Linked DNA regions of Drosophila melanogaster. The protein of the gene in region 1 interacts with the protein of each later gene in a pairwise test. Each region holds a gene or a part of one and is shown in the gene's direction. Other genes may lie near its edges. The genes, in order: AstC-R1, Ir85a, RpL15 and Hsp27.

Evidence for each region.
Region 2: the proteins of AstC-R1 (region 1) and Ir85a interact in a two-hybrid assay, tested with the Drosophila melanogaster proteins (one large-scale study listed by BioGRID).
Region 3: the proteins of AstC-R1 (region 1) and RpL15 interact in a two-hybrid assay, tested with the Drosophila melanogaster proteins (one large-scale study listed by BioGRID).
Region 4: the proteins of AstC-R1 (region 1) and Hsp27 interact in a two-hybrid assay, tested with the Drosophila melanogaster proteins (one large-scale study listed by BioGRID).

Annotation. Positions count from the first base shown.
Region 1 is NT_037436.4:18,556,028-18,564,671, forward strand, and holds the start of AstC-R1 (allatostatin C receptor 1), read left to right. Parts: upstream 1-4,230; 5' UTR 4,231-4,677; intron 4,678-8,644.
Region 2 is NT_033777.3:8,791,115-8,799,558, forward strand, and holds Ir85a (ionotropic receptor 85a), read left to right. Parts: upstream 1-3,569; coding exon 3,570-3,802; intron 3,803-3,893; coding exon 3,894-5,054; intron 5,055-5,107; coding exon 5,108-5,531; 3' UTR 5,532-5,590; coding exon of another isoform or gene 5,591-5,822; 3' UTR 5,823-5,852; downstream 5,853-8,444. Other genes in the region: Pif1A (PFTAIRE-interacting factor 1A), read right to left, coding at 1,990-2,253, 2,864-2,977, 5,591-5,822, 6,210-6,787.
Region 3 is NT_037436.4:27,263,841-27,270,921, forward strand, and holds RpL15 (ribosomal protein L15), read left to right. Parts: upstream 1-3,414; 5' UTR 3,415-3,683; exon of another isoform or gene 3,684-3,751; 5' UTR 3,752-3,769; coding exon 3,770-4,078; intron 4,079-4,113; exon of another isoform or gene 4,114-4,183; intron 4,184-4,251; coding exon 4,252-4,557; 3' UTR 4,558-4,605; downstream 4,606-7,081.
Region 4 is NT_037436.4:9,380,978-9,388,600, forward strand, and holds Hsp27 (heat shock protein 27), read left to right. Parts: upstream 1-3,085; 5' UTR 3,086-3,208; coding exon 3,209-3,850; 3' UTR 3,851-4,717; downstream 4,718-7,623. Other genes in the region: Hsp23 (heat shock protein 23), read left to right, coding at 1,021-1,581; CG4080 (uncharacterized protein), read right to left, coding at 6,808-7,406, 7,465-7,623.

The DNA of each region.
Region 1 (8,644 bases):
TTGAAATGCATTTTCTTATAAATTTAATAATATCAATTTTTAAATTGTTAGCACAGAAAGGTTGCAAAATTTAAACGGGTTTGCAGAAACAAATACTTCAGAAATATTTTATGTTTATATAATACTTTCATATGCCTCTCAAAATATTGTCATCAATGGGTTGATCCTGTGAGTAACTCTATTTATACATACTTTGGGCACATGAGAGTTGTAATTAAATTTAAAACGTGATATCGCCGTTTCTTGTTCCTATTTTAGTTTGAGCAATATTTTGTACAAATTGTATGCGCAATCACTGGACTTTTCTGCGACTGCAGTGGAGCTGACGAAATGCAAATGAGTGGGTGGCTGGGTGCTTTAGCCTGAGATTTGGCTCGCCTCGGTTTTACTTTTCGCCAGATACTCGCACTCAAATGCGAGTGCGGACTCGTATTTCGGTCACAAAATGCGTGGATGGGATGGGGGATTCACTTGTGCATGTCAATCACATTCTGACAGTCTGCTGCGGAGGCATATAGCAGCCGCCATATAGAGCACATTCGCACACACCTCCCCGGACCGCAGTCATCCAAATCCATTCACTCCTAGCCATCCATCCATCCATCCATCTATCCCAGCTACATCCATCCTCATCGGACTGCCAACGATGCGACGATGAGACAACATAGCCGCATTTGACTGACAGCCTAAAACGGTGGCAGTCCATAGTATCACAAAACAGAGCTATTTGCCCGTGTTTCTGGTAATTAAATACAGCAAAATTCTCAATTATTTATGGCTAATTAAATTTTATTCAGGTGGAATTAAATCTGAAATTTAAATCTTCACAGCGAAGGGGAAATTCAATTAAAATAATGACTCAATTATTAATTGACTTTATGGCACTCTAGAAATAGCCGCTAAACACCTACTAAATATGCGAAATACATATTTCATGGCAACGCTCATAAAAACGCGCCATTTCTGTCCAAACTATTAATTCATGTTTTGCGCGCAATTATTATTTCTAATGTGTGACATTTATTATACGCTGTGATCATTTGCATTAGACATAATTTGCACTGGCAAGAATGGGATAAATTTAATGGGGAAATAATTTCAAGTGTCAAGTGGATAGAAAAAAAAGGGGGGCGTTACTTCAAAGAACAAGAGCACTTGCACTATTAACGCAAACTATGTTATTCATGGAGGAGAAAATGTATGAAAAATATATTATTACCACAACAATTTTCCAATTAAAAGCCATATAAGCATCGTGTTTGGCCCACTTCATTTGCGTATACACAAAAGCTAAATTAGCTTAACAACACAGAATCGATATTAAACTAATTAATTAAGTTTTATCCCAGCAATATATCGCTTTAATGATTTCAATACCATTTAATTTGCATATTATTTTTGTGATACTGCTGAGCGCGTAAATCTACCAAAATCAACCATTTATCGTAATGGAGTTCTGAAATTACACCAAACTAATAGCTGCATAGGGAACTCTATTTATTTGCATACATCGGCCAACAGAGTTCATTAAAAATTCATTGGGGCTCGCGACTTTGCCAACTCACTTGAATATTTAGCCGAGCTTGTTGGAAATCAATTTCGGAAAATTGCTGGTATTTATATGGAAATTCAACGGTGCAGGAAAGTATAAGGGAAAAAATTAACAGAATTTATAAGAAAAGTTTGCCTGCTACCGAAAACTTTTTCACAACAAGAGCAACCACGAAAAGGTCCAGGGAATGGGTTTTAAAATGATAAACTGACCCTCATCGAGATTGTCGTCCTTATGCGTCTGCATTCCCAGACGCCACCGACAAAACCGCCCAAAACTTTCCCAGCCACGTCGTCTGTGTTTTGGCCAACTTAATTCAATCAAGCGAAAATTGCTTTAAAGTCGAAAATGATTTAATATTCTTGTGGGAGTGATTTCAAAGCAAACTTTAATGAGCTGATTCCTAGCAGCAGTAATTACTCTGGACAAGCAAAAATGCGTTCTTGAAATTCAATTATCTACATTAAGCTACATATTTTTGCGGCCAGTTGTCAAAGTGAGGCTGACAAATAAGCAAAAGCTGGTAATGAAATCTTTGAATGCCCTTGAGTAACAAAACAAATTTAAATACGTTAAGCGAAGACAATGCCATTCAGTACAATGTCCTAGATTATGGCTCATTTTATTGACTTTGACTGGTTGGCACTTTTGACGTCGTTGGCTTAATTTCAAATTTTCTTGTTTTCCGGACTTATATTCAAGACACAAATAAATTCTAACATGGCATGCTTAATAGTAATTTTTTTAAACCAGCCAAATTTATTTATTTACATTTTCATAGAACCTTCTGCAACATTTTACCGATAAAAACTATATTTTTTATAGTGTGCTTCGAGCGGTATTTAAAACATATAAACTTTTCACTGGTAGATAATTTAATTTAAAGTTTTGTGTACGACACAGAGGGGACTTTGCTATGGATAAAACTTTTTACGATTTGAGGAATGGTAAACAATAAACATCTCCCAATTTCGGTCGCATTTAAAGCACTTTTCAGTGCCAACGGAAAAGGATTAAAGCAAACTGTCGGAAATTCAACCAGAAGGATTAAAAGTTTTGCTCAAAAGGCCAAACTAAAGTTTGACTCCGAAGAACGTCGACAGTTGCCATATTTTCTGTGTCACTCTCTTTCCAAAGTTTCTTCTAGATATCCCCCAACTCTTACCATATGTTTGCCAGCTTTTTTTTCACTGTCATCTAACCAAGTCGAACTTTTTTCTAAACGAAAACATCAACTGGCTCCACATGGAAATTATTGCAGCAAATTTCTTTCCAAGTTGGGTGCGAACAAAAACGGAAAATTTCCTGTTCTTCTAATGACCAACAGAGCAAGGGAGATAACTCCGGGTTTGGGCCAGGTGGATAGTTTTCCAAGTGCACGGCAATTAGATTTCGACGCCTGGGGCTTCTTAAGTTGGAGCTCTGAGACGGTGGCAGTGCTGAGATATGATTTATTTACCCAAAAAATGTAGGAGGAAACTAAAGATTGGTATCTGAAACGCAATCACTTTCCAAACTTAATTTAAATATCTGATAAATTTGCAAACTAACTTTGTAAACTTTGGAAAAAATATGTATGAATGATTTATATCGAGTGTGATGTTTGGTAACGAGGCAAGAACATATTTTTAATGTTTTTAAGAATATATATATGATATAGCACAGTCTTGCTATATCATATCCTAAGTAAATTGTGAGAGCATGCATTTCTTGTCCTCCTTTCCATGTCATTACTGATTTCAATTATTGCAAACAACTGTATGCAAAATGCATGCAATTAAGGCTAGAATAATCAATCAGCAATCAAAGCCTTTCCGAATTCAAGCTAATACACGTACATTTGCAACTATAATTATAACATTGACTGTCCCAATACCGATATAATTTTAAATGCAGTGCCATACCTGAACTACGAAACAATTGTGCCGAAAATAATATGTTATGCAAACACATTTGTGTTATTGGAATTTGGTAAAAGTATAAATAACACATTACGTATACGGCCGGTAAGCCATCCCATAAACGATTTTGAACATTTTAATTATAAGGAATTATAAATCTGATAAAATAAGGGTATATGCTCGCTAATATATGTTAAATTTAGAGTAATTAAATTTAGGTCCAAAATAACTGGAAATAATTTTTATAACAGCATGATACCAAAGGAAGGTAAAACTTTTTAAAATTTCTTGTTTTAGCATGAGATAGATAACACATGGAAGTAGTTTTGATTAACCTATAGCGACAACACATCTCAATATTATACTTTGATAATCCTTGTTCTTATATCCTTCTAAATGGCACCAGTAGAATCAACAAGCACTTGCCCAAAATGGCAACAGAACTGCAAGCGCTAACATTCGACTGTTGTTGGCCAACGAAAGTGAGAGTTCGTATAAGAGAGAAAGTGTCGGCGGGAGAGTCTCCCTCACCGCGTGCTCTCCCGACCAACTGTTAATTGAGGAAAATTGCAGCTGGGAAAACGGCAGCAGACCGCAACACGCATCAGGCATCAGGCCAATCGGGCGACGAACCTGAAAGCCGAGCACCGAGCGCAATTGTGGATCCGAGCGACTCTGCAGTCGGAAAACTCGCATCGGAAAATTCGCATCGGAAAACTCGCATGCACCATAACAAAATTCGCCGGCAAATGCGGCGCGCAGTATGCAAAACAACACCGGAACGTGCAGTTCAGTCACTGTATCTGAATCTAAAATAATAATATAAAACCAAACTACGAGCAAACCCAGGGTAAAGTAAACAAAAACTTCGCCAGCGCCAAAGACCAAATTCGATGAACGTGCGCGAAAAACTCAAACCAAATAGGGTGAGAGTGGCGAAAAAGTTGGGCGGGTGATAGATAACCCCCGGGGGCTTTTCCTGCTGCCTGCATCCAATCCAAATTAGCGGCCAAAAACGCAAGGAAAATAAACAAATAATTTTACTACCAGCCGCCGTCGAATCACAAATAAATCCGACGTAGAGTGAAAAATAACATTAGCGTCGCAATCCGAGGAATTGCAGAAACGCTTGCCAAATATTTTGAAAACCCCGAAAAGTGCGTGGTGTGCCATTTTATCGGATTCGAAAGGATGAGTGGCTAGATGACACAATATATTCAAGTGGTAAGCAAAATGTGCCTCGAGGAGCATCGAACGGGTTGCCTTGTGTGCACATCTAAAACGATTGGGTGCTATCTATCTCCAATGTGATTAGAAATATGTATGTACTATATAGTAAATAAAAAATAAGCTCTCCTCATCTACATATAAATATAATCCTAATTCTAGTTTTTGAACTTAAATTAAATATAAATATAGTTTAACTTGAAGGGTTTGCAATACTTTCGCTCTGTGCTTGGGTTTTCCATTTTCAACGTTCAAATGTTTGTGTGCGTTGAAATTTATCAGATAACTGAAATTCTGTGCGAATAGCAATTTGTAACTGTTGAATGTCTTGCGTTGAGGGAAAGAGGTTGGTCTTCCTACGAGGCGATGGGATGGGTTGAGGAACGAGGATGCCCGATGATGTGGAAACTGAGAAGGGCTGACCATCGACGGCAGCCGCAGTAAACCAGAAAGGATTTTGGGGAAACGAAACAAAATTTGACAAATTAGGGAATGCTGGAATGGTCGTAAATGTTATTCAGAGAAGTGCTATGCTGAGAATAAATGCAGAAATTGTTACGGAGACATGTTGATTAATTCGTTATGTGAGATGTGCAGAATAAAAATGCCAATTTAAGAAAAGAAATGCCAAGGCCACAAGTAATTTTCTTAATAAATATCCTGCATACATATTAAAGTGCAGCAGAAATTATTTGTTATTGGCTCATTACTCCTAGGGGTGTGGAATTTTGTAAACTTGATTTAATTGTAAGTAATTCCCATTTTATTATGAGAAAGTTAACCAAGTGGTTCAGAACCAAAGCTATGAGCTACTTACAATTTTTATAGAAGCCCTCTATGTTGTTCAGCTATGAAACTCAAGTTCCTTTAGCCTCCGTAGTTCCCCCTTCACACCAGATAACCCGGCGAATGAGCTCATCCAGCTAAGTAAAGTCCACTAAAACCGAACACCCCCTCCCCGCAAGACCAACTAAAAGGCACAAGGAGGCGGAGATAGCCACTGCCACCCCATGACCATAAAGCCCAATCAAAAGGCCGTTGCACTCGCTGACTAACGGACTAACTGAGTGAATGACGTGCCCTGGCCCAATCCTTCAGTCAATCGGTTTGATGGCCTGAGTCCGAATGTGGAGCTAGAAGCAGCACGGGAAGACAACGCAAACAGCAGGCGAAAGTGAAGGAGCAAGTCACGGAGGAGGAGCAAACGAAGCGTTTCAGCAGCTGCTGCTGCGACTCTGCAACTCGGGGCGTGTAATTTGTCAGACAGATTTCTTTTAGCGCCAGGACACAACCCCTCCCATCCAATCCAATCCAATGCTTCCTACACACCCACACTCAGCAATTGCCCACCCACAAAAAATACCGCCCACGTCATTGCAACAAAACTGCTTCCTTCCTGACTTTTTTGGCCATGCTCTTTGAAACTGAACTGGGCGTCCGACGAGGCTGGGATTGCTCTTACAAATCAGATATTCCCTTTAATTATATAATTTACAAATCTTTGTTCGTGAGTTTATACATTACATACATAAAATCGGAAGTGTTTTAATTTGCTTTTACTTTTGCATTTAAAAATGAATTATAATCAAGTTGATATAGTATGCAATTTTTTAGCTTGAAACTATAAATTGTACACTTTTAAATCCGTTTTATTTTATAATTTTAAATCAAGGATCTTAACAGAATAGACATTAAAAATTGTAGTCTTTCATTATAGGTTTGCACCATTGGTGACATATTTTGTCAATGTTTCTGATACCAAGTAGCATTTGGCAAAAATGTGGTTAAGATAAGAAAAAATGTATAAAACACCCCGGACTTTTATTAAAACCCATTGAATAAGTGAAAATGGGAACAGTCTGTGCAAAGGTATTGAAAAAGGAAGGGAAAGGAACGAGCCAGACATTGACATTTCAGTGCAAATGAAGTGATAAAACGTAAAGGCAAAGCGGCGTCAGCTAGAAAATTGCCAAAGTGGGTAAAGGAAGTGTAGGGAAAAGTGTGGAAGAGAGAGACAGACATAGTTGGGGAGAAAGAGACGGACGACTGAGCTAGATAGAGAGGGCCTGGCAGACAAAGCGCGTCGAAAATGCGTCTAATTTGATGGAAGCGATGCATGCCTTAACCTTTCGTCGGCGTCAGGCAAACAGACAGCAGCAACAACGAACACAACGATGACAGGCACCAAATGATAGCATTTCCTCCCAACTCAAAGGATCCGACTTAGCCAAGAACAAGGACACTGGCAAGGGAAAGGGAAGGGGAAAGAGTAGGAGAAGGGACCAGCCAACTGGGAGAGGATGAGCACCGGATTCAAATGGCGGAACAAGTGCCAGAGATGCTGATGTGGCGCCTCCTCAGCTGCTGACAACAAATTGATGGCCAAGGATGCACAGAAATTCCTCGGAAATTAGTCAACGCACAAGGGATTCCCACAAACTTCACTTAAAGGGGAAACCGTTCTGAAATATTAGACCGTTGTTAATATCCCAATCCTTCATGCTTTCCCAAAACAAAATTCACTTTCTTTCCTTAATCAGAACGAAAAAATATCCAAAAAAGTCCCTCAAAAATACAAATTTAGATTTAGTCTTTATTTTATCATATCACAAACAAATAAAATCTCAAATATTTAAATATTTAAATTTAATCGTAAAAATGATTCAATATTGAGCAAAATATATAAATTTACACACTATAGTACTTTTAAAATGGGTTTTCAAAATTCTGATGCATTTCATTTACATATAACAAAAAATATATTATATTTTATCGGAATTCCCTTCTGAAAAGTGCGTAAAACTTTTCCATCACATTTTCCAAATAATTAATTAAGTGGCACAAACCAGTGTTTCCGCTAGAATCAGCCCCTGGGTTAAAGTTTTCTGCTGCTAATTAGAGAATTTTCAATAATTATGCATCATAATTGACAATTCAGTTTTTCACTACTCATCACTTGCGGACGGATGGGTCTTTCCAGCACCGTCAACTTTGAACTTTTTCTGCTGCACCAGACGACAGAAAACGAACAAAACTTTTGCAATTAATTACGGACAAGACCCCTAAACTAAGAAGGGGTTAGATCGGGCGGTGGGTTACGTTCAACTTATCCCATAGAAAATACAAAAATTAAATAATAATAATGAACGGGATAGGAGGAGCTCTGTATTAGAGAGATCTGCTGCAATTAGAATTTTTTTTTTTAGAACTAAAAAGGAAATGGAAATGCATTCAAAGGGGTTAAAGGGATGGGTAGCATATCATATTCAACTGTAATGACTCTCTCCCCTCCCGACTGCAATGGCCTACTAAAAGAGAATTAATGAGAATGGGCGCAGAGGGAGGGCGGCTCTATCCAAACATCCACATCATGATTGACGAGTTAATGTGGACTTAGTTAGGGTTCCATCTGGGCCAACTGATGGCGAAACTGTCAATTAATGCGAGCTGCCAGTGGCTGATGATGGGATGTACGAGTATAGGAATATGGCGATGAATTCAGTCTGAACAGTTGGAAGCTTGGAAGAGTAATGCCAACTATTGTGATGAGCTAATATAATTGAAATATAGAGTTCCGAAAATATAAATTCTACATTTCAAGGTATGTCATTTTAAAAACTGACTGTTGAAAGAATAAAATAAGATCCAGCAGATATTACGAAACCTTTGTTCAAGAAATGTTGATACTTTCCAGTTTTAAAGCCAAAATTCATAAGTTTATGAATATAAATAACGATCCTTTACAAATATATTAATTTTTTAATTTTAAAGATATTTTTTTGTGAATTAAATATAACAAACCTGTAAATTTAAGGCGCTGCTTAAAGCAAATAATAAAGAACACGAATCCTTCGCCGTAGAGAAAAAATGAGAAAGTGAAGGAGCAAAGTTTTGCATCAGAATGTTGGCACTTTGCGTCCATCAGCAGCTTTCACCACAGGAATTTGCAGCACTTTTACCGTTC
Region 2 (8,444 bases), on another chromosome or scaffold:
CTCTTGACTTGCAGGCGAGAGTGGTGGCTAGTTGGCTACTACACAGGCGAAAACATCAATCAATAAGGTGGAAAGATCAATATGCATTCGGCAAATAATGGCACAACGTCTTATTCAGTGAGAGAGTTTGGCTAATGCAAAGCTATTCGGTTTATAATGTAAAAACATATTTATTATAAACATAATTGTCTGCTGTTGGGCCTTAAAGTCATACAACTCATCTGGCACCGTACCTTTCTTTAATTATTATTAATAATAGCTGTTTACCAAAATTTAAGCTGTGCAGTTCCTAACCTTTTGACACTCGTTTATTGTAGCTATTACGTTTATTTTGTTACTAATTAAAACAATTTTTTTTTTGTTATATATTATACCTAACAACCTAATAACAATTAACAATCAACAACTAACAATTTCACCTTTTGGGTGTCGTTGAATTAAAAAATATTTTATGGAGCAGTTAATTGCGCACACACACACTTAAATGCTTTACTAGGTTGTTACCCTTAAATAAACGCTATTTTAACGAGTTTGCGATACACTTTTTCTCTGCGTGCATTAATTGATGTTGCATTTAATTCTTGCTGCTGCTGGATGACATCGTTGACCGATTGTTGATGATGTTGCTGCTGCAATTTGCTATTTCGCTATGCAAATGATTGCTGACTGCTAGAAACTGGCGCACTGGCCGACATTCGATCGCGGATTAAAGAGTTCTGGCAGATGCGAGCCCCGATTTCGATCGCGAATCCGATTCACACCCATTCCAGATTCCAGATTCCAGATCCAGATGACACGGCTCGGTGATCTCGGGATCTGGGGATCTTGGCTCTTGGACGTAACAAATGCTCGACTACTTTGGCGGCAATAAAACAATTACGAGAAATGAAACAGGCAAGATTAATGAACTGTTAAATCGAATTCGATCACTGGAACGTAACGCGGCTATATGGCTATATGGCTATATGGCCACGAATTGCCAGTTGGTGGCAGAAGGAGAGATGGATGGGGGCAACGGTGTGAAAGGCAATTAATTTTGATCGTTTTTGGCATGTTTCACTAAACTATTATAGTGCAAAGTCGGTGAAATTATGGTTTCGTGTGCGTTAGACAATGCCAAAGTGAAAGACAAACTGCGAATCGGTTTTCCTATTCAAAAGGTAACGATTGTTTGTGTGGCATTTGGTTCCTTCATTTTCGGCACAGAAATCCAGACAATGCACCCCGATACACGCCGATTTTCATTAGCGCCTCTTTTGACGAAACCACAACGATTCTGGGCCGCGAATTTCACCTCATTATGCACCGCTTGAACTCGGATATATACCCATTTGATTTGTGCACTTCACTGGCTGTTTGCTTATAGGATTTTTGGTATTATATCGGGGCTCATATAGTATCTCTGAGACACCTGCGACACCTGCGACCGCTGCGAACTTAAAAACCGAACTGACGGCCATTCATGCGAGCGGTAAACTCTCGAGCGGCGGGAGAGAAAGTGAGTGAGTGAGTGAGTGGTGCGAAAAACCGGCTTGGAATCGTCAGCTCCACTCTCTTTATCTCTCTTTCTCTCTCGCTCACGCCAGCGATCCACTTGCAACACTTGCGCTGCTGCAACTGCAACGCTGCAACTGCCGCAGCAGGTTTTTTTCTCACTTTTTTCCCTTTTTTTCGTTTTACTTTTTTTTCATGCCCACCGCTTATCGACGCGGCGATTGTTGTCTTTGCCATTCTCATAACTAACGCAAAATTATATCATAGATCATGCCAATAGTGCATAACCACAGGGGTAAAAGATACAGATATATCACTCGGGCACCATCGCCAGGCAGATACATATATGGATACACTTGCATCCCGAGATACAGATACTGTATCTGGCCAAGCTCTTAACTTTTAACCCGACTCTCCGGCAAGTTCAAGTGCTGCCCCCACTCCAAACAGCTATAACATAAAAAAAACGGCCAAAGAAACAAAATACAAACTCACCTCAGGTGTAACTTGAGCCTGGCGTATGGGATTTTGCTCGGATATATCTGTATCTGTATCTGGTTCGGTTTTAGCTTTTGTTTCTCCCGCCGCCTTCGTAGTGGGTTTCTTTGGCTTTTGGCTCGTTTCGTTGGGGTTCGTTTTGGGTTTCGTCGTCGCTGGCACTTTGGCTTCATTCTGCTTCAGCTTCTTGGGACTCTGCAGTGCCAGCAAGTCCTTCCTCAGTTGTCCTATATTACGTTCTTTGGTCTTTATTTCCTCTAACTGGAATAATAAGTAGCAGAGATTGGTTAGATTCATACTAAACATATGGAGTTTAGAGATATATGAGCAATACGTGTTCATCCACCTGTAAAACTGTTCAATAATCAACCAGAATTGGTCTAATATTTATACAAGCCCATGTTGGTGGCTCAATTCAGCGTTATTAAATGTTTATACCATTAATGGGAATACACAACTTGTTGTGTATGTTTTTAATGAGAACAAATGGTAGGTAACTATATCCCATTAGTTTGGTGTAAGTGCAAAAAGAAATGTTTATATGTATATGGTCTTACTGATTGAAACTAAACTCTAGTAATAACATCACGAAAAATGAAAATGTTTATACGAATATATGACCAGTAAATCAAAATGATATAAGGCTTATAATATGGGTACTTTATAGCAGCTAGTTGAATATGACCTGTTTTCTTGCTGTGCAAATTCAAAATGCATGTATGAATTTCAATGGTGGTATGAAAAGTTGCCCGTCCGCTTCTGAACCGCCGGGTTTCGTTCCGTAACGCTTCCCCCCCCCCCCCCCCATTCACAACCACTTCTTTTGAGCCAACTTTTGGTGACCCGTTAGCAGCCGCTACGCACAACTTACCAAACGTGTTATTTCAATTTTGGCTGATTTCTGTATGTGAGTCAATCGGTTTTCGTACGCGTTCTTCAATTGCCGCATATCGGCAGCCTTGAGTCTATCAGCCTGCCCCATAATCTGCAAGAAATGGTCGAATCATACATGTTTGCGTGTTGCCAACTTTTTGGATACGGGGCTCCAAGCAGCGGGAGATACCAGAAGCAAGTTAATCCATGCTGTTAGTTTGCACTTTGCGATTAGGTCGCGTACGTCCATTAACCAAACGAGACACAAAAACACACAAAAAATGCTACATAAAGAACGGGAAAGGAAAGTTCTTGCCACAGTCGAAGAATCGCATACCCTTCATAAAAAAAAATTAAAAAAAACGAAAATTTTACAAATAGCAAACACCTAAAGACTTTCACTTTATTGAGTTATATGCCTACTTAAAATTCATCGCACAATCTTGGGAACTATAGAGGGTTACTAAAACCTGAAATTAAAACAGTATGGAAAAGAATATTTCTGTGTTAATTAGGTAATGCAATCTGTAGGCAGTAACTCGCAATGTTCCTTTTACAGGGTATAAAAGTGCAGAAGATATAGCATAATATTTGCTTAACGCCCTTTGCCGATATGGCAAGCATTAGGGAAATTGCTATATCGAAATTGGCTCTGGGTATAAAAACAATGGTGTCATCCCTCTGCTCAAACAGTTGGCATTGCAATGTCCATCCAGTGGCTAAAACACATTCTGCTCCTGGCAATCCTGGTCAATTTGGCCGGGACACGGGAGAATCACATTCCGTTAGATTTGAAGAAAAGTTCGATCGTGATGGTCAAGATGAGTCAGATCCTCTGCAAGGCTCGGATTAAGGTCCTGTTCGTCTACTTCGAGAATCAAACCTCCCACGAGCATACGGGTCAAATACTCAAAGAGGTGACCAAGTGCGACATATCGTACATATCTCTCAGGCAAGTTGATCATTTAATCCCATAACAATACTGATAACATATAATAACCACAAATATTCGAATATTTTACTTTCAGGAATCAAAATACACCACTGGAGGCGGTCAAGGATGATGGCATACTAATGTACATGGTGATGATCACCACAAACATATCACAACCATTGGAGCTTTCACTTATCCGGAAGAAATCGGCTGCCAAGCATCGATCGCATGTTTTTCTCTTGGTCAGAGATGCGGATACCGTTTCCGATGCTTGGATGCGGGCCAGTTTCCGGCAATTCTGGAAGATATGGCTACTGAACATCGTGATCCTCTACTGGCGAGATGGACGACTGAATGCCTATCGGTACAACCCGTTTATGGACAACTATTTGATACCAGTGGACAATAAACCAAACGAGGTTCCAACTTTAGAGCAGCTTTTCCCAAAGACCATACCCAATATGCAGAGGAAGCCGCTGAGAATGTGCATCTACAAGGACGATGTGAGGGCAATCTTCTGGAGACAGGGAACTATCTTGGGGACCGATGGCCTGCTGGCGGCCTATGTGGCTGAGCGACTGAACGCGACCATGATGATAACGCGTCCGCACTCGTATAACAACCACAATCTCAGCTCGGACATATGTTTCCTTGAGGTGGCCAAGGAGTACGTGGATGTGGCCATGAACATTCGTTTCTTGGTTCCGGATACCTTCAGGAAACAGGCGGAAAGCACGGTATCCCACACGCGTGATGATCTTTGCGTGATTGTGCCGAAAGCCAAGACTGCTCCCACTTTCTGGAACATATTTCGCTCATTTGGCTCATTAGTTTGGGCCCTAATTCTGGTTTCTGTTCTGGTGGCGAATGTCTTCTGCTACATCCTGAAATCTGAAGTGGGTAGGGTTCCCATGCAACTTTTCGCCGGAGCCCTAACTATGCCCATGACCCAGATTCCGCCAAACCACTCGATCCGATTGTTTCTGATCTTCTGGCTTTACTTTGGACTACTTATATGCTCGGCATTCAAGGGAAATCTGACCAGCATGATGGTGTTCCAGCCTTATCTACCCGATATAAACCAATTGGGTGCGTTGGCTAGGTCCCACTACCACATCATCATTCGTCCAAGGCACGTAAAACATATCCAACACTTCCTAACCCTGGGACACAAGCACGAGTCCAGAATTCGGGAACAAATGCTGGAAGTTTCCGACACCCAGATGTACGAAATGATGAGGAACAATGACATAAGGTATGCGTGTACGTGGATTAATTGCTGTAATTCCATAAAATCTACTTTCGCAGATTTGCCTATTTGGAGAAGTATCACATCGCCCGTTTCCAGGTGAACAGCCGTGTGCACATGCACCTGGGTCGTCCGCTTTTCCACCTGATGAACAGCTGCCTGGTGCCGTTTCACGCCGTTTATATCGTCCCCTACGGTTCACCCTACTTGGGTTTCCTGGACTCACTGATCCGGAGTTCGCATGAGTTTGGATTCGAGCGATACTGGGATCGCATCATGAACTCCGCCTTTATTAAGTCTGGAGTAAAGGTGGTAAACCGTCGACGCGGGAGTGGCAATGATGAACCGGTGGTCCTCAAACTGCAGCATTTCCACGCCGTATTCGCTCTGTGGCTGGTGGGGATCGGGATGGCATGCATTGTGCTGGCCTGGGAGCACTTGACCCACAACTACAATTTGGCGGTAACAAAGCGGCGGGACTAACTATCGCATGCAGCATGCAATGTGAGGCGGATGATTGTGTTGATGTGGCGTCCACTTACCTGGGTCTTCTCCTCCTTGTTTCGATTCGCTTCCTTCAGCACGGCAATCTCGTTAGTCAGTCTTTGGATTTCATAGTTGATGAGGCCATCGGCGGTCACATGTGCACCACTCGATTCTGGGCCCGATTCGATGGCCTTCTTTATACCGTTGCTCTTCTTGGCCATTTCCAGCGTATGCTGCAACTTCTTCACTTCACTCTTCCACCGACGACTATCTGCGTCATTCTGAGCCCTGGGTTGAAATAAAAAAGCGATAGATTGCATTTTTTAATGTCTCTTTAAATTCAAAAGATCAGATCGAAATGGGTTTTAATATCAAACGTGTGACTATTCTATCATATTTTATATCTAGATGAAACCAGAAATATTTAAATGTAATCTTGAACAAACTGATTGCATGTATATTTATTTCCGAGTTTACTGATTGCCAATCGTCACTTTCATGAAAGGTCAAATATGTTTTCAGTGCACGAATACTTTTAAAACGAATGTATTTGTATTTGATAACTCAATTTAAAAAGTTTCACAACATTATGCAATATAAAATGGTGCGATTAAGGTAAAATGAAATGGGCTTATCACGTTCCTTATTGGTATATATGTATATTAATGGACTTACCTTAAGGCTCTCACTGCACCGCGTTCTGTGATCAGACTGGACTTCAGTTCATTTACCTCCAGACGCAGTTGCTCCGTGAGGGCATTTAGCTTCTGGATGGTGTCCATGTTCTCCTGCAGTTTTCTCTTGATCCTTTGTGGAGGTGCTGCTATCACATTTGTGGTAGTCACGCCACCAATTATTACGGGTCGTTCTCGATCTTTTTCTGCCTTTCCCAGTTGCTTCTGGGAGCCGGCAGATGGGCCCTTCTCGGCCTCAAAGGATTGGGTCTCCTTGGGTCGCAATTTGCCGCGACAATGCAGCTGGATGCCCTCGATGCGAGTGCGCTTCTCCTGATTCACCGTATCCCCAACGGAAGTCAGGGAGCTGCTCAGTTTCTTCTTGCGCTTCAACTTGTTCTTGGCCATCGTTTGCCAGTCTTCGATATCGTGCTTCTCCGTGTGGAAGCTCTCTTTGAGTTTGGAGCCAGGATCCGTCCGGCGGACCACAGTCCCATTGTGGGGCGCCAGGATATGGGCGGTCCTGCTCATTGTATTACATCCCTTGCTAGAGGTCGTTTTGGTTTGGTTTTCAGCCATTTTTATGTAACTTTAGTATATAAAAATGTTGCCGTCGTTTTTTTTTGGGTTTCTGCTTTTTCAAGTACTGCATATGCCGGTGCACCCCGATCCTGCCGAAAGTCCCTGCTATACTTCACCTGGTCATCGTTGGATTCTCCTCAATCTGTAAGCGATATATTCAAAATAAAGTATACAATAATGTGGCTTTAATAATGCTTTAAGCATATACAATAAAAGCCCTACTCTTATCTACTTATTACAAATTATGCCTTGAAAAATTACACAGTATACAGAATTCCGAGTCTTTGCCCGCATGGAGGTTGTTTCTTCAGAATCGCAAAGATTCCCCTTTGTCTGTCAGCATTTCAATGGCTTCTGTTTAGCCGTAGACTCTTCAACGCTTTTCTTCACTGGGTTGAACTAATCAACAAGTTTCCCCCATTATTGATTTCAGCGGAAAAGCTTTTTCCTTCATTTCGCCACATCGGGTCGGGCCACACATATGAATGAAAAACGAAACATATAGGCACCCTGGGACTGGGAAATAGTTTACAACGCCAATTGCGTTGGGCTTACCAAATAAACTGGTCCGGAATGACTTTTCTTAATGACGTCATGTGGCGCGCCTTTTGGAATAGAACAGAATATGTACGTACATTCATATGTACATGTGTTTTTTTTGTTTTGTGAGGTTCCCCACTGGGGCGCTTTACACGCAATAAAACCGCTTTTCATTACTTTTTTTGTTCTACAGAAACAGAATTCTTTGCACTGCTCCCACATCCGCCCCAAAGATTATAACAAAGCATCTATATATATACTGTATGAGGTGCACACACGAGTAGGCCCACAGTTCATATGTTCATAGAATGCTCTCCGAGATTTCTGGCCGATCATCTTTATCAAGGCCACGATCTATATACACATGTAGAGCGACAGATTTGTGTACTTAGCAACCTTCTGGCGCCTAATTGGAATTTGATTTGTTTTTCCAGCTCGATACACTAGGTGTTAATAGGGAGGGATCTTAAGTGAGTGGTGCCCAAGTTTATTACTTTCTGGTTATCAACATAAATTATAAGTAATTATTAGTAAACTTTATGATATTGACTCTTGGACGTATTTCAAAACCGAACTGTTAGTGGAAAAACTACCCTAAAAGAGGTGTTCGTTCCAAATGTATGTAATATTTATTTTGTGGCTTTTCTATAAACTGAAGGACTGGGGCTAATGATGGCTCTCATGTTGCATTTCATTTAATTAAATTTAAAACCGCCCCCAGTCCACTCGATAATAAAGTGTTTTTGGGGTCGACATACACGCCATGGTGACATCACAGCCTCGGTGTGACCGGCTTGGTTGGGATTGGTTTTATACGAGCAAAGCCACCCACTCGATTGCCATCCACATCCACAGCCATCCACATGGGCAGATGAAAGTCTCTTTTTTGCTCTTTAAGTATGTATATTTTCAGTCATATATCAATTTGAAAATATTGCCAAACGATGAGTCGGTCAGCCGTCGAGTGTACAGTCTGCGGCTCTTTCGGCTGATTCACCGAAGATCACGTATACGCACCATTAGCTCTGAAATCCTTGGGCGTCGTAGACCAACAGTTGGTGTGCCTCAAACTTCTGTATATGTTTATTCACTCACTCACTCACTCACTAAGTCG
Region 3 (7,081 bases), 8.7 Mb from region 1:
AAGCACAATAAAAGCAGTGCAATATCTGGTCTAGTTAGCAACAACAAGCCAAATTTTAAGTTTTACCACAACATGATCAGAAACATAAAGAGTGCAATGTACGCACCTGGCTCCTTTACAACTGTGGTAAAGTGATCGGTACGCCTCTTTAGAGTCCTGATCTGAACCCCATTGAAAATTTGTGGACCTACTTCAAAAAGAAGGTGGCAAAAAGGGCCCTGAAACACGACAACAGCTTATGACTGCAATAGTCAAATAGTGGGAAAAGATACCGCTTAAATATGACCTCCAAAAACTTATCTATTCCATAAAAAAAGTCTCCAACTTGTAGCCAATGACAATGGGGAACTTACTACATACTAAAACTTTTAAAATTTTAATGAAATAATTTAAAAATTTAGTATTATACTTCGATTTAGTGTTTTGTGTAGAGTTTCTTGATAGTCTCAAAAGTGTGTAAACTTGGAATTTGTAGTTTATTTTCTGGTATATTTAATATTTTCAATTTGTTTAAGTAACTTTTGATATAAGTAACTTTTGATATAAGTATTATAAGTAAAATAAATACTGTTTAATTATATTTCATAAAAAAATGCGTTTAATTAAGCAAAGAACCCTTAATTTCTACCTTTAAAGACAAAAATTCCAATTATTTCACAGTGTGTACAGTGACAAACTGTAATCATAATAAAACACAAACTTTGACTTACCTCCGCGCTGTCTGAACTCATTTTACCCAATGACAACATGAAGAATTCTGAGCACTCTGAACTACTATTACTATCATTGGCTCATTCATTCTTTAAACGCATTCAGTGAGTTCATTTAGATCGGAAGCTTAAAAGAGAACGCGGCCAACTGAATGGCATGCATTGTGAATACGCAGTGAAACGAATGAATACTCTAATTGAAAACAAAGAGAAGGTGTTATGCAGCACTCTAATATGTATGTCGCGAGCTATGTGGCACTGGCGGTATTGCAGTAGAAGTATTGCCACTGAGGAAAGAAATCAGTTCGACACAAATAATCGGTACCCAGGGGACACCACGGAATTATTTGACCTTCGAATCGACTTGAAATATTATAATGTCAAACATTTCCATTTTCCCCAATTTAGCTATTTTTCTAACTATTGCTTTTCATTTTTATTATATTTTTTTGTCGTTTTTGGCATTTATTAATTATTTTCAGGAGTCAATTATTTAAATATCTTTTTTATTTTTCTCTATCAACTATTACAGTCCACTTGCTATTCTTAAAAACAAAACATTTATAATTTTGTTTAACATATCCGTTTTATACGCATAACATTCATTCTTTACATAAAACCATAATGAGAGAGCACTACTTTTATTTGTGCGCTTAATGCATTGCTCAACAAAAAATATTTTTGTATACAGTATTTTCATAAACTTTTATGAGTATTTTGCAAATATTAAAAAATATATCAAAAATAGATACGTATCGCAATTACTATTCGAGCTTTCATTTTTGTACTATACTATTAAATATTTAATAGTATATATTTATATTTATATTTATTCAAAATGACTTTTATTGAAAACAAACTCGGTTATTAGCGAAAATTTAAAAAAAAAATCGAGTAGCTCTGCATATAGTAAGCTTTACTCAAACGGATTAGAGAAATTAAAAGGAAAATTAAAAAAGTTTTCTTCCCACCATCAAATTGGAATATAAGAAAATAATTCTACTGAATCTAATTTAAATTTAAAATTTAAAATTTAAGTCAAAAGACTTAATAAATATTTTACATAATTAAAGCATAGACAAAGGGAATTATTATAACTGCTGTAATTTGAATAAATAAATAAACCATAAATTTAAAAAAAAAGTCAGTACATTGAGAAAAAAAATATTTCATAAAAATAAAACATAGTAGAAAATAAATAAAAATATGAAATCTGTTTAGTGCAAAAGTTATATCTGGAGGCACTGAGTGCGGACACAAGCTATCATCAATCATTGTTGTCATAATTTCTCACACCTCGCAAACGTAATACTCTAATTTGTGACATTTAAATAGATTCGGTTAATACTACAATATTTCTATGCTATATTTAAATAATAATAGCACTAAGGCAATGCAGAGAAAACATATTTCACATGATGCCAATTGACCGAAATTATTATAGTTATTATTATAAATTAGTTATTATATAAATTATTATAGTTATTCTAGTGCCAGCAACCGGCTGCAGAGCTCTCCGGTCTCTGGCTCTGACTGTTGTTATTCTAGTGCCTATGCAAATAACATTTGTCGCTTATGAAATTGGTTACTTTCAAAACATTTTTAAATCTGAACCTGTATATCGGTATCAAAAATATAATCGTGCATGATCCGGTAATCGAATTCGTATGAATTTTATGATTCCGCTTTTGGTCGTAAACCAATTTTGACTTTTGTCTGGCCGAAATGTAAAAATGCCTTTTAATACCCGTTATTTGTAGAGTAAAAGACTTACTGGATTCGTTGAAAATTATGTAACAAGCAGAAAGAGCGTTTACGACTATACAAAACATATTATTGAACAGGATCAATAGCCGAGTCGATCTAGCCATGTACGTCTGTCTATATGAACATCGAGATCTCAGCATACAGGTTCTAGAGGCAAAGACGCAGCGCAAGTTTGGTGACCCGCCCACTCTAACGCACGCAAACCTCCAAAAACTGGCACGCCTACACTTTTGAAGAACGTGTTGTTTATTTTTAACATTTTAATTATTTTTATAATTTTTTTTATTTGCAACAAAATTTTTTCGCACTAGCTGAGGAACGGGTATCTGATAGGCGAGGAACTCGCCTCCGATGTGACAAGCACACATTTGCTGTCGACAACAACAAATTTCGATTTGCTAAGGTGTCGCTAAGTACGTCGTCAAAAGTTATTGCGGGAAAACGAAACAGGCAGGTAAAAATATTTATACCATATATTAAAATGCTTTCATTAAAAAATAAATAAAAACTGTGAAAAATGGGGTAGCTATTTTGTATGAAAAACAATTGCAAACAGCAATTTCTGCGTCCGTCTGGCTTCAAAACAAACGATTTCAAATATATAAAGGATATCTTCACGTTGTTTGATTTTGACAAAGAAAAAAGTCAGTTGTTTGAGCAGCAAGAAACGAAATAAAGCGAAATAGCATAGAAATAACGCATAGCACTATAGCAAAAATTATTTGAAAACCAGAGCACCTAATAACGAAATTAAAAGACTTTTCCCAAATCGAATGCGATAAGATAAATTAACATGGAACGGAACATGCTGGGATGTTTTAAAAATAATACAATTCTGTGAGAAAGGGGTATAATTCCGTTTTACAATGTTTCATGCATTAGGGTAAGTATATCCCAAAGCAACTCTGAGCTTGTTTGTCGTGTGATCCAACTCATTGCTTCCTTCTTTTGGAATATTTCCGTGCTGTAAGTTGGTTGTGCATTCGGGTCAATAATTTTTCTTTAGTACGAGATCATTTCGGAAATAAGTTTATATATTATTTTCGGTCCTTTTAAAATGTTTTTAAGTTTGTATGATGATTTTTTCCATGCACCACTCTGAGCTCAGTGTAGATTATGGATATCTGACGGATGTTATGTTCGTTTTTGTACTCACATTGCTATGTAACATTGATACGAATTATTATCTGTTCTAGATTGTAATATGTACAGTTTAAGAAGTTGATGGACCGATGATGTGACAGTTATAAAATAAATAATGAATTTGTTACTAGGTCTATCAAATTGCAGAGATGGGGGCTTATCGGTACATGCAGGAACTTTATAGGAAGAAGCAGAGCGATGTGATGCGCTACTTGCTACGTATTCGCGTTTGGCAATACCGCCAACTAACGAAATTGCATCGTTCGCCAAGACCTACTCGCCCGGATAAAGCAAGACGTTTAGGATACAGAGCCAAACAGGGGTTCGTGATTTATAGAATCCGTGTTCGCCGCGGAGGTCGCAAGCGTCCAGTTCCCAAAGGATGCACTTATGGCAAGCCGAAGAGTCATGGTGTAAACCAGTTAAAACCATATCGTGGTTTGCAATCCATTGCTGAGGTAAGAAAAAACGAAATTTGCTAACCACACGTTCGAACAAGTTGATGACAACCCCTTTTGACATACAATATATGTTGACATTAACTTCCTTAGATGTCTGAAATATTCTTGTCCAATTAAGAGGTCCTCACCAAAAAACACTGAAATATATCATGAATTTTATTTTCTTGTAGGAACGTGTTGGTCGTAGACTTGGCGGCTTGCGAGTTTTGAACTCGTATTGGATTGCGCAAGATGCTTCTTATAAATATTTTGAAGTAATCTTAATTGATACTCATCACAGTGCTATTCGTCGTGATCCAAAAATTAACTGGATCTGCAAGCATGTCCACAAGCATCGTGAATTGCGTGGCCTTACATCAGCTGGAAAAAGTTCGCGTGGCATTGGCAAGGGATATAGATACTCCCAGACAATTGGTGGATCTAGGCGTGCTGCTTGGAAGCGCAAGAACCGTGAGCACATGCACAGAAAACGATAAATTGTGAAGCATTTATTTTATCGGTTAAATAAAGCACTTCGTGCACGCAAAGAACATATCTAAAAAATATATTTTTTGAAAAGAGCTTTTAAACGCAAAAATAGATATAGTAACAGGTTTTCGCATTTTTGGTTTGGCATATTGGTTTATTAGGAATTTTGGTTTAAAATATAAAATTTCTTTCATCTACATTAACTTCCAGTTTTTATTTTCAAAAATGTACTAAGACCATTTTTCGGCAAGACTCCAATTCTTTTACAAAAAATTTTAAAATATATGCAAATAATCCCTTTTTCGTTTAGCGGATCTAACAAAAAAGTACCTCAAGGTTGAGCAAAAAATCTCATTTGAACGACGATGGGCACGCAAACGTATTTTTGCTTGTTATAGCTCTTCTGCTTCATATCTAAAAAATGCCATATCGAAAGATATTGGAAAATGAAACAATATTAAATTTAAAAAAATGTTCAAAAGCGAGGGCGTGGTTGTTTTGGGACTTATGTAGGTGTAAGAACGGGCGTGGCGGCTTGTATTTAAATAATATTAAAACGTTTTTTGAAAAGCTTAAGCGTGACAACATTCGGAAACACAATTGCGCTGCGCTTATTGTGTTTCTGAAAGCTGCAGGCTTAATCTCAAGATTTTACCCTTTATAGTTCCTAAAATCGATACGTTCATACGTTCAAACGAGCATGGCCAGATGGACTCGGCTATTGTTCCTGATCAAGAATATGTGCATTTTATATGGTTGTAAACGCTTCCTATTACCTGTTAAATTCTTTTCAACGAATCTGGTATAACCTTCTACCAAAGACACTAGAATAACAAGATGCGTAACGGCCATACATTGCTCTCTGTCCGCTCGCTTACGCTTACGCATTAATCTATTCGGTTCACTCTACTTTGGAAAAACCTGAAAAAAATTAATACATTTTTTTCCATTTTTTTTTTAAATTTAAAAATAAGCCTTTAAATGATGTAAAAAGCCTTGTATTATGTGGTTTAAATAATACAGTGATAATTAAGCATCGATGTGCATGGGCGGGCACTAGCTATGAAATGAATGACAAGGGAGACTTAATTGCAGGGCGATCTGCAAGAGTTCGGGAGCCATGATGCTCCCTCAGCTTATCTACATATGTATACATATATGTATGTTCATAGATGAGCATGGATTTGGACAATTATGTCACCAAAGTTTACAATAAAACAATTTCAGAACTGCTGGCGACTGCGAGACCAATGAGTTCCTTAATTTTTGTAAAATTGTTACATATAGTGCAAATCGCTCTATTTAGATTACGATTTTCCTTTAATTGGCAAGTTCTCTAATTATACGTTACTCTTAGAAAGAGTATAAAGGTTATAAGGGTATTAGCTTCCAATCAGTATATAAATGTTGATTTTTTTGTAGTGTAAGTAGATTACGAAAAGCGGAGTATCTATAGGCAAGAGTTTTCTTAAAAAACATACTTCGGAAAACTTCTGGATGTTAATTTAATATTAATTATACATTTTTCCTCTATGATTACCGCCAACTCCAAAAGCGTCAATAAAAAGTTAATTTCCTTTTTTCTTACAAAAATTAGACAACTACATCATATATAAATGAATTAGTTACTAGTGTTATAGAGTAACTAAAGTTGCCGTTTAACGTCCCAATGAAAGACGGAGCGATTATTTCGTTACAATTTTATTTGCGGAGACTGAAGCTACCAGTGAAACCGCAACACATATCGTTGCGGATTAATGTTCATAGCGGCCACGCAAATATATGCATATATAGCATTATGCATACTTTGAAGAATGCGGTTTCTGTCGCTTATTTTATCTGGCCGTCCGCGGACGTTAACTTTAGTTGGAGGACGCCCTCGGCCGACCTGATTCCGGCAATCGCCACATTCAATTGCCTTGTAGCTCTTCTGGCCCTTAGGATACGCCAGCTCACGAGGCCAACGCAAAATAGCAGACAACATACTGAAGCCATGACAAGTGCCACCTGTTGTGGGCGATCAGCGTCGATCTCTTCCTTGAATTTCCGGATTGTCTCCAAATTGCTTTCACTCAGGCGATGAAGGTAAGGGAGGCTGAGCACATTCTGCGCAGTGCGACACGCCGCCAGCGTGGAGCTCTCTGGCACATGAGCTGCCCGACGACAAGTGACAAAAGGCGGTGCTGTTCGAAGCCGTGCAGTCCAAGACGGTGTAGACTTCGTTATTACATTCAGCGATGACGTTGTTGGTGATTCGCAGCACGACTCCTTGGTGGCTAACGGGGAAAATAGTAATCTTTTTGTGGACTGAAGCACTTTTACGGACAACACGGACATGAGGTCTCCTATGGGGGTGTTCGTGGGCTCCTCAAGCCAAAGTCTGCGTGATCGAGAATATTCGGGATAACGATATTTTGAAGCTCCATCATAAGCATTCTATTTCTCGCCAGAAAGGTTTCATACAAATGATTGGAGTCAATTTGTGACCCCTTTGCCGTCTTGAGAATTACGTTGACTGTGGAGGTAAGTTGA
Region 4 (7,623 bases), 9.2 Mb from region 1:
GAATTCTAAACAATGTGTATATAAGCTGAATATTTATCAAGTTGTACCAAGCAAATGTGCAGCTAAATCTTACATACATACATATGTATTTGTCTTAAGAAATTGGTCAAATATAATAAAAGGTTACAGCCTCGTTTTCAATAAACCAAATATTGACTATTAGAATTTATTAAATGTTTTTAATGTTTTTTGGTTTATGTTTTCATCTATCGACCTTTGAAATTCAAAATAGTTGCATTACATTTTATTCAAATAATTTTTACATCCTTCGAATCCTTTATTGTATGAATGTACATATGTTCCAAATCGTATCATTTTTACATTTTCTTACTGATTGGAGTAATAATACGCTTACATCCCATGGGTTATTACCTACCCGGCATTAACCACTTATGTATTTTAATTAGATTTCCCCACTACAGAGCCCCATTCTTGGATATTAATTAAAGTTAATAGCTTAAATGCCAGGCCATAAAAAGAAGAACTGTTCTGCAGTCTCGAAGTTTCGCGAATTTACTCCATCCTTCGTGGAATATACTCCAACCTTCCTATCTGCTATGTATGTACATACATACGTGCTTACATACGTACATCTATACATACACATAATATTTGCCGGTGCTGATGCGACTTATCACTCCACCAGGCCTTTTCATTCCCACTCCCCTAGGAGATTGCTCATTTTCCATAGCGATACTCTCACTTTCAATGGCAGATAATGCGTAATTGCGGCAAATTCGAGAACTCTGCGATATTTTCAGCCCGAGAAGTTTCGTGTCCCTTCTCGATGTCGATGTTTGTGCCCCCTAGCACACAGACACGACGCGCACACACACAGCGCCGACGGGCGCACGCACACTACGATAGCGAGCGGTTGTATAAATAACCGGCACTTTCGTGCAACCGGCGTCAGTTGAATTCAAAAAGCCAAAGCGATAACAGCTAAAGCGAAAGTAACCTATCAACAAAAGAAGTTTATTCTTTGAAGGAGAATCATCTTGAAGCAATTAAAAAACAAAAATGGCAAATATTCCATTGTTGTTGAGCCTTGCCGACGATTTGGGCCGAATGTCGATGGTGCCCTTCTATGAGCCCTACTACTGCCAGCGCCAGAGGAATCCCTACTTGGCCCTGGTTGGACCGATGGAGCAGCAGCTGCGCCAGCTGGAGAAACAGGTGGGCGCCTCGTCGGGATCGTCGGGAGCCGTGTCGAAAATCGGAAAGGATGGCTTCCAGGTCTGCATGGATGTGTCGCACTTCAAGCCCAGCGAACTGGTGGTCAAAGTGCAGGACAACTCCGTCCTGGTGGAGGGCAACCATGAGGAGCGCGAAGATGACCATGGCTTCATCACTCGTCACTTTGTCCGCCGCTATGCTCTGCCACCCGGTTATGAGGCTGATAAGGTGGCCTCCACCTTGTCCTCCGATGGTGTCCTGACCATCAAGGTGCCCAAGCCACCGGCAATCGAGGATAAGGGCAACGAGCGCATCGTTCAGATCCAGCAGGTGGGACCCGCCCATCTCAATGTGAAGGAGAATCCCAAGGAGGCGGTGGAGCAGGACAATGGCAACGATAAGTAGAGGACTCGTTCCGAGAGATGCCCTGCATTATTTAACCATTATCAAAGTCATACATCTGTTTTATAAGCTGTAGTTATCCAAGGACACTTCACTCATACACAATAGCCATTAAGGGTGTCCTGCTTTAATCTTAGTTTGGAATATGTATTACTAAATTGGCGAAATTAATATTACCCATAAAAATAAATAACAAGTACACTTACTTATAATTGTGTTTGGTCTGTTTTTCTGGTTGGTTATGGGTTACTATTACTATTACTTTGGGAATTGTTTGGCTAGCTTGGCCCTTTTTCCTGTGATCCCGGTTTCTAGAATTTACTTTCTGCATTGTATATTGCATTGTTGTGTCACGTAAAATGGCATTTTTATTTAATTGTTGTTTGTGTACATAACTGACTTTTTACATTACTTCGGTAAAGAGACTTGAAGCTATGAATGTAAGGAACTTCAGTCAAGGTTAAATCCTTATGTAAAGCATGCATAAGTACATCATGTACATACATACGTACATAAGAATATACATCCCTTTTCACTCTCTTCTTTTTAATGAATTTCTGTCATCTCTACAAGAGATGTACGTTATGTACGTCCTTATAGCACGTACCTATGTACATGTATAAATTGAACTTCATTTTTGTATGTTACCGCAAATAATTACGTGCATGCACACATACACATACATATGTATGTATGCATGTAGTTTTGAAAATAATTATGTATTTTGGTTAACTGGTGAACCAAGAATAAAAAGATTCTATATACACATATACATATATATAGAAATGTATGCATATGTACATATAATAATCGAAACACTTGCAACAGACTGGCAATGATTTGCAAAATTTTCAATTGCCCCGTTTCCCACTTCGCGAAGCAGTGGCGAAAGCAACTGCAAAAATGTTTGCAACAAACAAAAGAACGGCAAACATGAGGAGCAGAACGAAGCGAGACAAGGGTTCAATGCACTTGTCCAATGAAAATACAAGCTCTGTTGCACTCTGAAAAGACAGCTTTTAAAAGAGCGATAAGAGAAGAAAATGCTTTAAATAAATACATATATCTGCATATATACGTACATGTACATACATATGTATGTACTGCATTTTAACTGTTCGTTTTGCTTTTTATTCGCAAAGAGAAACTCCCCAGAAAAGAAATGTCAAGAAGTTTCTGGTTCTTTCTCCCTCTCTCTATGAAAAGCCGGCTGTGCTAGAAAGAGCCAGAAGATGCGAGAGAAAACTGTTTGTTGAATTACGGGGCGTATTCAAAGGGGCTTTTAAATGTCGCTTAAATTTTAAGTTTGACAGGCTAATAATTGCTTGCCTATATCTAAATATTATTATATTTGCATTAGGGGATCATAGGGAAAACCTTCTCTGCAGGCAAAATCTAACGAAGATGGCAACCCCCCATCATTTTATTAAAGTTCCGTCCCTGGTTGCCATGCACTAGTGTGTGTGAGCCCAGCGTCAGTATAAAAGCCGGCGTCAACGTCGCCCGAGCACAGTCTAAACTGAAAAATTGAAGGCAAACGTTGAAGCAAACTTCGCTAAAAAAATTCGAAAAAGCAAAAAAAATTCCTTTGTCTAGACAGGGTTGTGAATAAAGAGAAAAAAAATCAAAAATGTCAATTATACCACTGCTGCACTTGGCCCGGGAGTTGGATCATGACTACCGCACCGACTGGGGGCATTTGCTGGAGGATGACTTCGGTTTTGGCGTCCATGCCCACGATCTGTTCCATCCGCGTCGCCTGCTACTGCCCAACACCCTGGGACTGGGTCGTCGTCGTTATTCGCCGTACGAGAGGAGCCATGGCCACCACAATCAAATGTCACGTCGCGCGTCGGGGGGTCCAAACGCTCTGCTGCCCGCCGTGGGCAAAGATGGCTTCCAGGTGTGCATGGATGTGTCGCAGTTCAAGCCCAACGAGCTGACCGTCAAGGTGGTGGACAACACCGTGGTGGTAGAGGGGAAGCACGAGGAGCGCGAGGACGGCCATGGAATGATCCAGCGTCACTTTGTGCGCAAGTATACCCTGCCCAAGGGCTTTGACCCCAACGAGGTAGTGTCCACTGTCTCATCCGACGGTGTGCTGACCCTCAAGGCCCCGCCGCCGCCCAGCAAGGAACAGGCCAAGTCGGAGCGCATTGTCCAGATCCAGCAAACGGGGCCTGCCCATTTGAGCGTCAAGGCACCGGCACCCGAGGCTGGCGATGGAAAAGCCGAAAATGGCAGCGGCGAGAAAATGGAGACTAGCAAGTAAAAGACGAAAAGAGGAAGACTAGGAGATGAAGAAGACGAGAAGAGGAAGAAGACTAGAAGAGGAAGAAGTCGTGAAGGAGGAAGAAGACGACGAGATTCGCTGGCGAAGCACGAGAGAAAGAAGAATTTAAAAGAAGAAACGGGAGTGTTGCCGCGCTGCTCGGAGAGAGCAAGACTAAAAAGGACACACCACAACACACCCAATGTATTACATTCACACACATCACATCATTACATCATCATCATAACATCCTAGACTAAGTGATTTTAAACTCCATTTATCATAATGCATAAAAAAAACAAAATTTTAGTGTGTATTATTAGGCTAAACAACTGGAGGATTCATTGCTCCCTTTGAGTTTATACTTTTTGTAACAAGAACAGGCGCAACACTCGGGAGAATTTTGCATTTCATTTGTGAATAAACGAATACAATAAATACAAATACACGAAAAGAAGTCAGCTGTCGAGTTTTTGTTGGTTTTTTTTCCTTTTTAGCTTCGAATCTGCAAATGTATTTGCATTTAGGGTAAACCGGCTTTTGTTGGGTGTCGTTAACTTTCAAGGGGTCTTATGTACATATTCTGTTTTCCTTGTCCTTGAATTGGACTTGTGGAAAATTAAATGGTCAGCCAATTGCTTAACCTTTGTCGACGATTGTTATGATGATTTGTAATGATTTTGCACAATTCAGAAATCGATATAAAAAAAAATGGGAAATGATTTTTGTTTTTCAATTACATTTTGACAAACGTCATGCAAATATTTCCAGTTCCGCGCACACTGAAAGAAAATCCAAGATAAGAACGACATTTAAATAATTTAATCAATTGTTTGCACATATTTATTTAAATATTTAATACATAATAAAAAATTTAGTTGCCCGTTCTGATTTCATATTGGTTGTTTTATGCTCGTAACTTGTAGCGATCATAAGTATTTACTGTTAATTCTATATCTATATCTAAAACGGCTTTCATTCATATTTCTCAGCTGGGTGTTGAGATACGGATATATCTCAGTTTTCTCGGCTCCGTGGAGCTTTCGCTGTTAACCGCGAAAAAGCTTTTAGTGGTTGTCATGTTGCTGTTGTTGGTTTTATCTTAGTTGATGTTAAGTAAAAATGTATTTTATGTATTTTTCTGCATTTTCTACGGCTGCGGCTGCTGTCAATATGTTTTTGCTTGCATTTATGCACGTTATGTATGTATATTCAATGACGCTTAATCACAGATCAATTTTTTAAAATTTCATTTGACTTAGAAGTTAAGAAACAAAACACATCCGAAGCACGAGAGAAAGAAGAATTTAAAAGAAGAAACGGGAGTGTTGCCGCGCTGCTCGGAGAGAGCAAGACTAAAAAGGACACACCACAACACACCCAATGTATTACATTCACACACATCACATCATTACATCATCATCATAACATCCTAGACTAAGTGATTTTAAACTCCATTTATCATAATGCATAAAAAAAACAAAATTTTAGTGTGTATTATTAGGCTAAACAACTGGAGGATTCATTGCTCCCTTTGAGTTTATACTTTTTGTAACAAGAACAGGCGCAACACTCGGGAGAATTTTGCATTTCATTTGTGAATAAACGAATACAATAAATACAAATACACGAAAAGAAGTCAGCTGTCGAGTTTTTGTTGGTTTTTTTTCCTTTTTAGCTTCGAATCTGCAAATGTATTTGCATTTAGGGTAAACCGGCTTTTGTTGGGTGTCGTTAACTTTCAAGGGGTCTTATGTACATATTCTGTTTTCCTTGTCCTTGAATTGGACTTGTGGAAAATTAAATGGTCAGCCAATTGCTTAACCTTTGTCGACGATTGTTATGATGATTTGTAATGATTTTGCACAATTCAGAAATCGATATAAAAAAAAATGGGAAATGATTTTTGTTTTTCAATTACATTTTGACAAACGTCATGCAAATATTTCCAGTTCCGCGCACACTGAAAGAAAATCCAAGATAAGAACGACATTTAAATAATTTAATCAATTGTTTGCACATATTTATTTAAATATTTAATACATAATAAAAAATTTAGTTGCCCGTTCTGATTTCATATTGGTTGTTTTATGCTCGTAACTTGTAGCGATCATAAGTATTTACTGTTAATTCTATATCTATATCTAAAACGGCTTTCATTCATATTTCTCAGCTGGGTGTTGAGATACGGATATATCTCAGTTTTCTCGGCTCCGTGGAGCTTTCGCTGTTAACCGCGAAAAAGCTTTTAGTGGTTGTCATGTTGCTGTTGTTGGTTTTATCTTAGTTGATGTTAAGTAAAAATGTATTTTATGTATTTTTCTGCATTTTCTACGGCTGCGGCTGCTGTCAATATGTTTTTGCTTGCATTTATGCACGTTATGTATGTATATTCAATGACGCTTAATCACAGATCAATTTTTTAAAATTTCATTTGACTTAGAAGTTAAGAAACAAAACACATCCTACACATGGACTAAATAATTACCGTCTCTGGTTGGTTTTTGGGCTTTTTGGCATGGACAACTTAGTGGACATACATATATGTATATGGTATGGGATCGGAGAGGCTGGATAATAAAAGCAGTACACGAATAGAGGATAAATTATACATCGATTTAGCCACTAAATCAATATACTGGTTCTAAATGTTAAGATAACTTAACTTAACTTTTTTTTTTGTGTTTTGTGTTAATCATTGCAGTCTCAAATTGTTTATGGGCTTTGCTATATAAAGAGGAGAACATAGGGATTGTTGGGCCGCTGGCCACGATATGGCTTTTGAAGCCCCTTGGTGTGCGGTATAAAAAATAGTATTTCGATTTTACTTTCTATGTGGATCTCGGGGTCTCCGTCGACCAGCGGTGAATACTTGAGAGAGCAGAGCTTATTGGGGGGAGAAAGAGCGCGCAGATCATAGTGGATCACATCAGATCAGTTGGGCAGGATACTCCATTTCACTTCTGGAGTAGACTTTCACAGCTGCTGCTGAGATTTGGCAACGACTTGAAACTGAGCCGCGAGCGATCCACCTGGGCGTCCGAGGGACCGTAGCCCCTGCTGCTCTTGCTGCTGCTGACCCCATTCACTCCGCGGTCAAAGGATGAGGAGATCACAAGCTGATGGGAATTCCGCTGCTTCTGCTGGCTGCTGGCATAGGCGGCAGGTGGTGATAGTGGCGATGTGGGCAGGTCGATATCCAGCACGGTATCCGCTTCGCCGGCCTTCAGCTTGGGATCCGAGTAGCGACGTAGTTCCTCCTTCGTCGGCTGACCACCTAAACAATCAGTGGTGCAGCAACCAATGGGCAAATCAACGCCCATTATCCCAGAGTGACGGTAGTCGATCTTTGGCGGCGTGCTGTAATCGTAAGGATGTACGGCAGTATCGGGACCCACGCTGGTCTGATCGCTCAGCACATCGCGGTTCTCGAGAAAGATGGACGAGTTGGAGTAGCGCTTTGTCTGGTGCGGCTTGTAAACAAATCCGCCTAGCCCGTTGGCTACTGCATGCGATACTCCGGAACTGATCGAGGGTGCCTTGTGCTCGCCACTACCTGCAAGCAAATATGGATTAGCGATATGTATAATTATATAGCAATAAAAGGCATTCACCACTAAAGCTGCTTAATTGCAGAGCGTGCTCGCGGCCTGTATCCGTGGAAATGCCGCTGGCACTGAGATCCTGCCGTGATCCGGCGCACAGATCCGTAGCAGAGCCGCGACTAGAGCCCTCCGAATGCTCCAGCACGTTGTGTATGGAGTCGTGGAAGG